Arabidopsis thaliana: one gene and its partners. The protein of the gene in region 2 interacts with the protein of the main gene of each other region in a pairwise test. Each region holds a gene or a part of one and is shown on either strand. Other genes may lie near its edges. The genes, in order: GATA7, STO and BBX29.

Evidence for each region.
Region 1: the proteins of STO (region 2) and GATA7 interact in a two-hybrid assay, tested with the Arabidopsis thaliana proteins (one large-scale study listed by BioGRID).
Region 3: the proteins of STO (region 2) and BBX29 interact in a two-hybrid assay, tested with the Arabidopsis thaliana proteins (one large-scale study listed by BioGRID).

What each region holds. Positions count from the first base shown.
Region 1 is NC_003075.7:17,146,567-17,150,321, forward strand, and holds GATA7 (GATA transcription factor 7), read right to left. Parts: upstream 1,931-3,755; 5' UTR 1,646-1,930; coding exon 1,445-1,645; intron 1,326-1,444; coding exon 810-1,325; 3' UTR 574-809; downstream 1-573. UniProt on the Arabidopsis thaliana protein: Transcriptional activator that specifically binds 5'-GATA-3' or 5'-GAT-3' motifs within gene promoters. May be involved in the regulation of some light-responsive genes.
Region 2 is NC_003070.9:1,827,773-1,832,065, forward strand, and holds STO (B-box zinc finger family protein), read right to left. Parts: upstream 2,212-4,293; 5' UTR 2,094-2,211; coding exon of another isoform or gene 1,994-2,093; 5' UTR 1,917-1,993; coding exon of another isoform or gene 1,888-1,916; coding exon 1,705-1,887; intron 1,536-1,704; coding exon 1,215-1,535; coding exon of another isoform or gene 1,185-1,214; exon of another isoform or gene 1,133-1,184; coding exon 890-1,132; 3' UTR 568-889; downstream 1-567. Other genes in the region: AT1G06030 (pfkB-like carbohydrate kinase family protein), read left to right, coding at 26-142, 224-358; AT1G06045 (uncharacterized protein), read left to right, coding at 1,750-1,916, 1,994-2,093; AT1G06050 (ENHANCED DISEASE RESISTANCE-like protein (DUF1336)), read right to left, coding at 2,954-3,895. UniProt on the Arabidopsis thaliana protein: Acts as a negative regulator of seedling photomorphogenesis and light-regulated inhibition of hypocotyl elongation. BBX24/STO and BBX25/STH function as transcriptional corepressors of HY5 activity, leading to the down-regulation of BBX22 expression.
Region 3 is NC_003076.8:22,113,701-22,117,198, forward strand, and holds BBX29 (B-box type zinc finger family protein), read right to left. Parts: upstream 1,840-3,498; 5' UTR 1,616-1,839; coding exon 1,121-1,615; intron 1,037-1,120; coding exon 884-1,036; 3' UTR 604-883; downstream 1-603.

The DNA of each region.
Region 1 (3,755 bases), on a different chromosome or scaffold from region 2:
AACCTGATATCATAATTTTAACCAAATTGTTACTACTAATCTTTATGTGAGGGTTTGCTTTAGTATTTTACATGTACAAAAAAAATAAAAAAAATGGAGTCACCAATATTTGTGTATGCAAACAGAAAGTATACCAGTTTGTATTCTTAAATATATAAACACTGTGTCAACTATCAATGATACAATAACATAATTTAGAAAATAACCAATGCATTGGTATTTGTAGCCGCACAAGTATTAGATCGATATGGATTGATTTTCAGTTTTTTTAACATAAGAGTGTGAATGAGGGGCTCGTACGTCGTAAATTTTTAGGGTTGTGTAATTGAAAAATTAAATTGATTTTTGGTCAAATTTTATCTTTTATCTTGTCTCAATGTTAACAACTTCTATACTGGTTTAATAAAAATATACAAAATTCTACTTTAACTTTAAGGGGCAACGACGATATTTTGAAAAAACAGTTATAAAGGCAAAATTTCAAAATAACGTTTTAACAACTTTTTTTTTTTTTGCATTAGCAGTTTTTTAAAAAAACTCTAAATGAAAAGAGTGTGAGCTAAGAGGAAGTAACAGTAGTTAATTATGGTTGTGGTCACAAAAATTTGGGTAACGGTTGGACTGTATTTAACAAAACTTTTAATGATCATGATTTCTAATCATGCATACTCTATCAAATAAAATTGTCTCTAATTATAGCTTAACTTCATGAATGTGAAAACAGTCTACGGATCTCTCTCTGATTCTCTGTTTACAAGATTACACAATGCACATGGCATTGATAAAATTTCAAGATAGAAAAAAATGGCTTAAACCCGAGCCGGATCCGCCACTTTCATGAGCCGTAGCTCCAACACTTTCCGGTGAGAGTTAGAGTGAATCTCGTTGGTGAATGTTGGGCTACAAGCGGGTCTATATTCGGGTAAAAGTCGACCCGACTTAAACCGGACCCCACAAGCATTACACAGTGTCTTCGCACCTAATGGACCCATTCTCCATTGAGGCGTCTTCTGGACTCCACAATGGCTGCAGCACCGCCTCAGCTGCTGCTGCTGGACTACGCCACCGTACGATGCATCCACCTTCTGTCTCCCTCTCTTCTTCCTTCTGGCAACAGCGGTGGATAGCAGAGGAGATGGAGACTCCATAGACCAGATACGGCCGTTGGTGCGGCGGCGTTTGCTTCTAGGTTTAACAGGAACGCACTGTCTCCGAACCTCCACCGACGCGACTGGATTCACCGGGAAATCACTCGAAATATACGATTCTGAGAAAGAATCCTCCACGAAGTTGGATAACCACTCTAAGTCCTCCAAATCACCAACCTTCACAAACAAAACAAAAATGAGATTAAAAACAGAGCAAAACAGAGCAAAAACAGGGTAGAGAGAAACAGAGTGTACAAAACAGGGGAGATAGAAACAGAGTGTGTAAGTGGGCTCACCGGAGCGTCGCCGGGAAAAGATAAGAGATCCTCTGGCGGTGAAAGACGGGTACTTTGGTCAGAAAAGCTCTTAAATTTCTCACGTTCTTGTTCGTCTTCTTTTCTTTGTGACGAAGACGACTCTAAAGAAGTGTCGGCGTTAGAGAGGTCGAGAAGATCGTCGACGGAAAAATCACCGAGAAATGCTTCTACACACTCCATTTTTGTCTCTAGCCGTATGAAAGCACTACAAGTATTTTAAATAAAGGAGGAGCGAAGCGAATCCATATTTGAAAAAGTTTGTTCGTGTTCCAATATATTTTACACAAATTTCATTCTTTCTTTTTCAAAATTTTAAATTCTTTACGTGTCTATCGAGTGAGAGAGACAGTGGAGAGTGGACAGCACTGATTGGGGTTTGTAAGCAAGAGTGGGTTTTAGGTTTTTGTGATTTTGGAAGACTTGTTTGGTATTTGTCTCGTTACAAATCTCGTAACAAATCATGCATTGCCATGTCAGCATTTCACATTGAAAAGGAAACCAAAAATACGTTTCCTTCGTAAGTAAAATGTTTTTTTTTTTTTTTTTTAAATGTTATCTGAACTTATCCGTAGAATTTTATTTAAAGATAACCGCTCTTTGTAGTCAATTCAATTTATTAGAGTTCTTAATGCCAAATTTTAAGTTCATAATATTAAAAGACAGCAAAGATTTCTTCATAATTTAGAACTATCATTTTTGACTTAACCATCGGCGCAGAGTTTGCAAGTCTTTTTAAGTTCTTTTACTATCAAAATAACTGAATAAAGTCATTCAGAACTAGTGGTATTCTAACGATCTAATGGCTCAACCTAATTAATCATGACCGTTGAAAGTGTTGTTGGGCCAAAAATATCGTCGGTTAATACAACTTTCCCTCTATATAAAGCTAGTTTCTTGCAAAATATGGTTTTTTTTTGTTAACATAAAAAAGAAACTAGTAGCACATATATATATATATATATATATATATATTTTTTTTTTTTTTTGTTGTATCAGTATTTCGAAGGTTTTACAGAAAAGAAGAAAAAAATTAACAATAATTCATACGTCGAGAGTAATGATTGGACTATCAGGCTTCTCGGGCCCACTCGACCGTCGGTGGAAGGCCCAATTTTACCAAAACAAACAAAAACGTTATTAGTAAGGGCCTATTATTTATTTCTTCTTTAATTTCAAGGAAAGAGTGACCATCATATGTTGAGCGCGTGAAAATATCGCTCATGGTTATATATTTGTTTTTTCTTTGAGATAATAATTTCCATTAGAAAAAGTCGGTTTCAAAGTTAGAAAAAAAACATCTAAACATTCACGTAAAGTTTACCAGGAGCAATGGAGCATAAACATATTCAAATTACACACATACCTAAATAGTAAATAATAATAAAATACATAGACTTGTATTTTTATTATAAATATAATGAACTACATTCCAAACAATTGGGTGTTTGGTCTAGTGGTATGATTCTCGCTTCGGGTGCGAGAGGTCCCGAGTTCGATTCTCGGAACACCCCTCTTTAAATTCTCTACTGCTACATCAATTTTTTTCCCCTCGGATTAAATTAACGCAAGAAAGTCGTAGACTGATGACATACAATATGGTGGTGGCTCACTAAACTGACTATATGCCTAATTAGCCCGATGGGCCACATGGGCTCAATGCAAGTCGGTAAAAGGTGGAATGTTATTGAATGCGATGTATGTTGGCAGAGGAGTAACCGTACAAATTAGACTATTTTATACCCATGAAATCATTATCGTTCGATAACATAAGATAGTAAACTTTCATGATCTCGTTCTCTATGCATCCATCTCTCATCTGTGTAGTGTAGCTTTTTTTTTCTTTTTTCCCCACAGTATTTATCTCGTAAACTATACTTTCATATAGTCATATATGTGATATGAACATTGACACTGTACGTAACTTATATGATGATTAAGTTTACATGAAAACCATTCAAGTTTTTTTAAAAGCGTAAATACAAAATTACTTCATGAAATTTACGTTTATAATTTAAAATGAACTTCGATTTAAGTTATTTGCATTCAGAGAAAATAGAAATTAATTAAATGTAGCAACGATGTAAGTGATAGCCATAAAAATATCACATTCTTTGTATATCGGAAATTTGGTTGAGCTTTTAAGTCTTGAACCCTCGGATAAAAAAAAATGTACACTTGAAACCAATATAGCATTGCTCCATAAATATCAATATCTTAGACCCAAAAAACGATATTGTTATTCCATATCGGATTTTAGTCATTTCGACTATTTTCCCAACTATTTTTCCTA
Region 2 (4,293 bases):
TGATGTTCTCTTGACTCTTGTGTAGGATTTCCATGGATCTGTTGAAACTTTCCATGTTGACGCTGTGGATACTACTGGAGCTGGTGATTCTTTTGTTGGCGCGCTTCTAAACCAGATTGTTGATGATCAATCTGTACTCGAGGTTAACTCCCATTGATATTGTGTGTCTATTCAATCAACTGAATATTGTTGATGATATTTACTGATTTTTCTCGTTTCTTAGGAGGAAGAGAGATTGAGAAAAGTGCTGAGATTTGCAAACGCTTGTGGAGCAATCACGACGACTAAAAAGGGAGCCATTCCAGCTCTTCCTACAGATTGTGAAGCTCTCAGTTTTCTTAAGATACAAGTAGAATAGTAAAACTTCTCTTCGAGTCCAGAATTCTCCTTGTCTATTGTAATAATCTGTTCTGGATTCTTCCTGATGATTCTGATCATTTGTAATGTTTTTTTTTTTTGGTTCTCTCTCTGTCTTTTCTTTTTCTTCTTCATTGTATTGAATAAAACAGACTTGTGACTTCTGAGCTTTTCTTGCTAATAGAAAACAAAGAGTTTTTCGTAGTTGTTTGGAACCGTAAATTGCATTGAGGATTGTTTCTCAAGGCTTTGAAAACAGAGTAATAATCAGGAACAAACAAAAAAAAACCAAGAAAGAACAGAGAGAACACATTTAGTATCAAGTTTGTAGCATCAAAGCATTAAGCATAGACCATGTTCAAGAGGTATGAACAAAACTCAAACACAGACATTTGTTATAAGCTCTCAACATATCTTACACAACTTAAGACAAAACTAAAATGTATATGACATTAACTCCACACATGCAGATAGGTTTCTTGTTTGTTCTTTTACATTGAAGAATGTCTACACATAGATTACATATAGCTTTTTAGCCAAGATCAGGGACAATGAAGTGTTCCTCATCATCATCATCATATCTGGTCTCAAACCTCGGCTTCTTGTGTGAAACATTTGACTTCATAGGTTTGTATGAATGAACATGACCTAAATGCGAAACAGAAAGCTCAGGAACTTCAGCTGCAGGAAGAGCCTTGTCATTAATCTGATCACCGAAGAATCCCATGTCTGAAAACCAATCCAACTCCCCTGCCCCAAGATCAAGCTGTCCTTTCTGCTCAATTTAAACCAAGAAGTCAATAAAAGCTTCTTGCAAAGAAAGTGATCTAACATTGAATCTCAATTCTCATCACTACCTTGTCGGTGGATTCAATATCAGAGAAGTGAAAGAAATCGTCAACAGCCCAGGGAAGTGGAGTAGCAGAAGAAGGTTGTTGTTGCTGCTGGCTTGTGGATTTAGCAGGAATCTGATTAGCCTTCTGTTGGTTGTTGGAAGGCTCAGGTTGATTCTTCTCAATTTCTTTACTACATATAGTTGAGGTCAGAGCTACTTTGATCCCAGTGGCTAAGAACCTCTGGTGATTAGCAGATCGAGAATTAGCCACGTGGATGGATTCATCGCAGTCCCTGCAAAGCAGAGCTCTATCCTCTACACAGAAAATGAAAGCTGCCTTCTCCTACAAGTCATAAGAACATAATGAGCAAACCCTAGTCTTAAACAACAAGGCATACATACAACAGTTGCTACAAGATCTATAAAATCACAACTTTGCAACAGAGCAGATTCAAACTAACGAATCCATAAAATATTTGACAAGATCTAATGAGATCTGTAGAGAAACTTACTTGGCAGATATCGCAACGAGGGAATTTGGTGGAGAGGGAATTAAGATGAAGACGTTGGTGCTTGCTAGCGAGTTTGTTAGCGGCGTGAATCTCGATGTCGCATTGAGGACAGAGAGCAGCTTCGTCGGCGCAACAAATCACCGTCGCCGGAGCTTTCTCACACACATCACACTGTATCTTCATCACCGGATACAAGAAACCAAAATATCTAGGTTTCTCAAGAAGGAAACAGAATGCTTAAAATGAAGGGTTTATTGCTAGTCTGGCTTCTCTTAGAATAGCTTAGCAGAAGCGTAGGTTCAGAGAAAGAGCTTAGAGAAGATGAAAGAACAAAGAGGGAGAGAGTGTTTTGTGGGGAACAAGTAGGTGGGATGAGCAATTGGTTGTGAGTGAAAGAGAGAAGATAAGGATTTGATGAATCTTGCTTGTTGCTTTGTTTTCATTATTCTGCGTATCAAAAGGAAACACTCTGCTTCTTACAGCAAGGTCTTGCGGGTCCCACTCTTTTTCTGTGGCTCTCCTTCTTCCTCTCGTCATCTCTCCTACCTTTAGATATTTTTATTATATTCACACTTTGCTATTTTATATTCTTGTTATTTTCTCACGTAGTAGAGATTTGTGTTTTGTTTACTAATCTAGTCAAAACACATTAATTTTGACTAATAAACTAACTTCAATAATTCCACCACCACTAGACTTTTACGCTCCTTTTATATGATATGCTCGAATTTCAAGTCTCGTGAACTTTTACGATTTCAAGAAAGATTTGTATACAAAAATGGGCTTCATCTAGAAAGAAAGAGTTGGGTAATGGTATTACTCAAATCAGAGAATATTACACGACTACACGTAATCTTGAAAATGACATGTGAATTGATTCCTTGGAATGACGACATGTTATGTTAATATGTACCATTCGATCAGATTTTTCTTCTTCTTTCACTTTTTCGTTTTCTCAATCATAAAAACGATTAATGCAATCATTAAAAATATACTGGCATGTTAACTAACAAAGAAATGAATGCTTAGCCCGTTCGAGAAAAAGAATGATCCTAAAAGACACCAATACAAAATTAGGCATGGTTGGTCACAAGAATTGTTGTTGGATATCACATATCCATCCATATTAGTAAAAACCAATCTATACATCTGTGGTTTTTTTAAAGAATTGACAAGTTTTTGTTTCTGTTTTTTGGTAATGAAATCGAACAAATTCAAAGAATTGTGAAGTTAATAACTCCCAAAACACTTACTGCTTCTGTACATGTTCATCCTTCTGGATGTCCCCATGAGAAGTATTGTTCATGTTGGCCGTATCTTGATTAAGCAGATTAGAGAATCCATTTCCAATCGATTTCCACCAGCTCGACCGCTCTGAGGTAGTTTGATCCCACTGGTCATTACTGGTGCTTGAGGACAGTTCGATAGATGTGGCTGACTCGGTCTGCAGCTCAGAGAATCTCACAGCTCCTAGTAGCTTTTCTGGAAGCTCTGCTTCGGTCTGACTCTCAATGAGGAACGCAAGATCAACTGTCAATGTAGTAACGTAGCCAAATGCGAGATGAACAATGGCACTAGCGACCATTGAAGAACCAATATCGACATCAATCTCCACAAAGTTTTCCCCTGAAACATATTTGCAAGAGAGTGCACGTCCAATCACACAGATCGCTTGCTCTCCAACAGCTTTTCTAACAATCCAAGGGCCTTTGACAATGTTTGCAATCAGTTTAAGCCTCGATTTCTTGAACCCATCATCTCCTTTCAAAAACCGATCCATCAGGGAGCCTTCAAGGATAGGCTCTGTGGTAACAAAGTAAGCCACAGCACTGTAATTGTCTTTGTGAGGAAGCTGGAGATTGAATGCCCAGACAAAAGGCTTAGTTCCATCTTTTTGAAACTCCTCATCGATAACTTTCCTGATTCGGCTGCTTGGATAACTCAGGATCTCAGAAAGCTTTTTAGGACCTTTAATCCAATCAAAACCCAGAGGCTTTAGAAGGAAATCACCAGCAGGTATCTTAACTTTGTCAGAGAAATACTTTGGTCCTCTAACCATAAATGTGTCAGGAGATGGCGTCGTCCAACCATTTTTGCAGTTGTCGTCTGGCTTAAGACATGGAACAGCTCCCTCTAATTTCACTCTCTTAATCCATTCTGGCTCAGTTTCCTCACCAACAGAGCCAGCCATATCTTGCGAAAACCTGCAACACAGAGCTTAAATCCTTGAGTAAAACTGAGTGTGGAAAACAATCTCATGGATTCTACTTAGTGAATATAGCAAACAAGAATATGCCATCAAGAAGACCAAAACATGTGATCAGAAAACAGAACCATGTATGTCTGAGGCTCTATCTATTCCTCATCTAATTTCCCATAGGATTCATACTATGCCACAAGAACTTTTTAAAAGAAAAGAGTGAAACAAAAATTGCTCAAAGAAACAAAAACTAGGAGCTGGTAACTCCGGTTCAAGTCATAGCTACACCGGAAACTAGAATAAAGTTAGTAAATTGACTCAAATTCTGAGTAATGACATCAAAATTCAGCATACACGATTCTGAGATTTTCTACAAACCTAAGCCCTAG
Region 3 (3,498 bases), on a different chromosome or scaffold from region 2:
TCACTACTTTCATTCAATTTAAATAAATAAAATATCTGGTAGACATTCGCCGTCCAATTCTCTAACTACCATGAATTGAATTACTGTATACTGTATTTATCATATACGATCAAGAAACCAAAAACTTGGATCTTCTCATTTCTCACAAAACAAATAGATTCAAAATTAGAAATAAAACCAATTTATTTAGTTACATATAAATCATGAGAGCATCATTTTTTATTTTTTTGGAGCTTCGAACACGGTTTAGATACAAAAGACACGATGGGTTCAAAGCGTTTGACAAATAAATTTTTTTTAAAAAAACTTTAAAGGAGGACCCCATGGTACTAAATATCTTCTTTTTTCTAAGTCTTGACAACTTTTTTGTTTGATTCTTTTTAGTGGTCGTAGTTACAATTTACAAAGCTAACGGACATTCATACGTTATGTACTCTTCAGTTGTAACATCACAATGACACAGACACTTCTAGTTCTGGGAAGGCAAATAAAATTGACATCATAATAAATTTTGGTTTTGGCTGGTAATCCTTCTCACGTTATAAATTTATAATAATATCTCTTGTTTCACTAATTAATTTTCTTAATCATTTTCGTTAAAAAATAAATAAATAGAAAACAGCTTCATTTTCTTAATCATTTTCTGAACAACTTTGCTTCATTTTATTTTTTATGTTATATGATTTTATACTAGACATATGAACATATATATTCTAGGTAACACAGAAAAAAAAACACAAAAAAAAATCATTATATTGAAATGTTTTTAAACTAACTCAACTCACTAAAAGTATTGTTGTTAGTAAATGAACGATGAGGATTAATCTAATCAACCAAACAAAAGAATCATCAACGGCTACAATCTCTACTTTCCTTGGCGATTTCAATAAAACGAAGACGACGATGATGTATCACATCCCTCTGCTTTTCTCCTCCCTCCGTGTAATTTCACGATTGAGCTATTCATCACAACAGTTGATCTTGACAAACCTTCGTCTCTCGATAATCTTTTCAATGGTCTAGATTGGTTCTCCTCCTGCATTTCAAAAAGAATTGTTTCAGATTTCTTAATCATTTCCTAATAATAAAAGAAGATAAAGAAAAAGATTCATATTCATACATCGGAGAGGTTAAGATCCAAATCAAGTCTCGTCCTTTTCACCACCTGATCTCCTTCACCACTACTAACCGAAGACGACGAACTCACCACCGGAAGTTCTTGCTCCACCGCAGCCGGAACAACCTGATTCTCCACTTCTTCTTCTTCTTCATCCTCATCGCTTTCCTCATCATAAGACTCAGCTCCGTCGTTACAACCAATGATCTCTTCTTCTTGGTTAAGATTCTGATCCCTCCCGGCGAGGGAGCTGTTGTTATTCTTCTTACGAGCTAAACAAGACTCACAGATAGAAACAGTTGGGCCAAGATTCAGCCCAGAAGCTTTCCAAGGCGTGTGTGACTGACACGCGCTACATAGAAGACAACGCATGTGTTTCGCCACCAGAAAATTAGCTCCGTGAACTTTACCGTCACAATCCCAACATAAACTCGCTTGATCTGACTCACAATACATTCTCGCTACACCACAACATAACTCGCACTTCTTCTTCCCCATCTCTAGATATTATCTCGCACAACCACAACCACAAGCTCTCTCTCTATGTCTATCTCTGTCTCTAGATGTTTGTGTGTTATAAATATTCTTGGTAAGGTCTTTTGCTTCTCTCTCTTCTCTCGTTTCTTCTGCGGACACGAATAAGAGACAGCGTAATAGAGAATTGTAAAATGAGAATTTCGTGGCGACTTTTATGTGATTTAATTCTTTTCGAGGATATTGTCGTCTTTTTGATATTAACGAAACGATTTTTCACGTAATTTTTTAATGAAATGCAAAGAAGCTTCCTAATTTTAAATTAGAATAAGATTAAAGGATTCGTTCAAACTTTAATTTTTATGGTGGATAATTTGTGGATAATTTTGTATTAGTAGTTCTAAATCTGTGTTTGAAATTGATTAAGGTTTCCGCGGCTGAGTATTATTCTCGAATTCTTAAATTTAGGAGAGATGATAATAATAATAAAAATTAAAGGAAATGTTGTTATTTACTTGGTCCTGAAACCATGTACTGGGACAAGGCTCTCCTATGGGCGAAGTCTTACGTGTCGAGATATTATTCGTTTTATGTTTCATCAGATATTTTTATGCGGTTAGATTTTTAGTTAATGACGTGGCGAGATATTAGCCTCGTATAGAGGAGAGGGAAGATTCTGAGTTATCCTACGTGGACGAATCAGGTTCTGTAATAGACTTAGAACCACGTGATCCGCACCTGGGATTTGTCTGGTCCTCAATACACGTCTAATGGGTCCACTCTTTTTTCTTTCATTTTTTACTTTTTTCAGTATTCCTCTCTCGTTCCGGTCCAAGCGTTTTGTTTTCGAAAATGAAAAGTGAATTAAATATCATTTATATCGTTGGTATTACGGTAGGATAATAATGATGATCGGATTTTTAATATCGCATTTTGGGTTCGGAAATTTTGGTGTCCATGAATCAACATGGTTACTAGGAGAAGAACCTAATTTTATGATTTTATCAACCACTTTTAGCGTTCCATATTTTACATAATTCGAGTTAAATGTCTTTTTCTCTAAATAAAAATAAATAAATAAATCCAACCACTAATTTTACATTTTTACTTCACATCATTGGCAATTCGATATATTACTTGTTATTTGCTAATGGTAATTAAAAAGAATATAGAATATATATTTGAAAAATTATTAAACCTGGATTAAAAAAATGAAAGGTATTACGAATTTTTATCTAAAAAACAGGATAGATAGATAGCTAAGAAGCTTGTAGTTAGACAAATATTTTTTGTCATTTCAAATGTTTACAGTTGTGAGTTTTTAAAAGAAAATCACAACGATTTTTGTATGATAGAGTTTGATCTGTGGTTTTGATCCATAGAACAAACTAATTCATCTATGATCAAAGATGAATTAATTTGATTATTTGTATTCATTTGATCAAAGGAATTAATTTGTATCACGAAATCGAGATTAAGACTAGCAAAGATGGATTGAAAGTCATTTTAGGATAACAAATAATACGTAAAATATATATAAGAACAAAAAAAATGGTAAAGTTGGGCCTACGTAACATGCTTGAGAAATTTTTACGTGGCGAAGATTAGTGGTGTAAAGGGTGAAGTGTGAATTGTGAAGAATCAAAGGAACACGAGATGTCTTCATTTGAGAGCCACATGCATTAAAAAAGCGCTGATGAGTGGAGGTGTTTTGAGTTTTATGGTTTTTTGTTTTTTTACTTTTAAATGTTTGTGGATGACAACTTTAGAACAACTTAGAAGAAGCCTCGAATCAATACACATCTATCTTACGAATTACTCCTTATTTTTTGTTAGTTCTTTTCCATTTATGTTTTCTTTTGCAAGTTTCTTTAAAGATTTATTAAAAAGAGAAGTGGATTACAAAT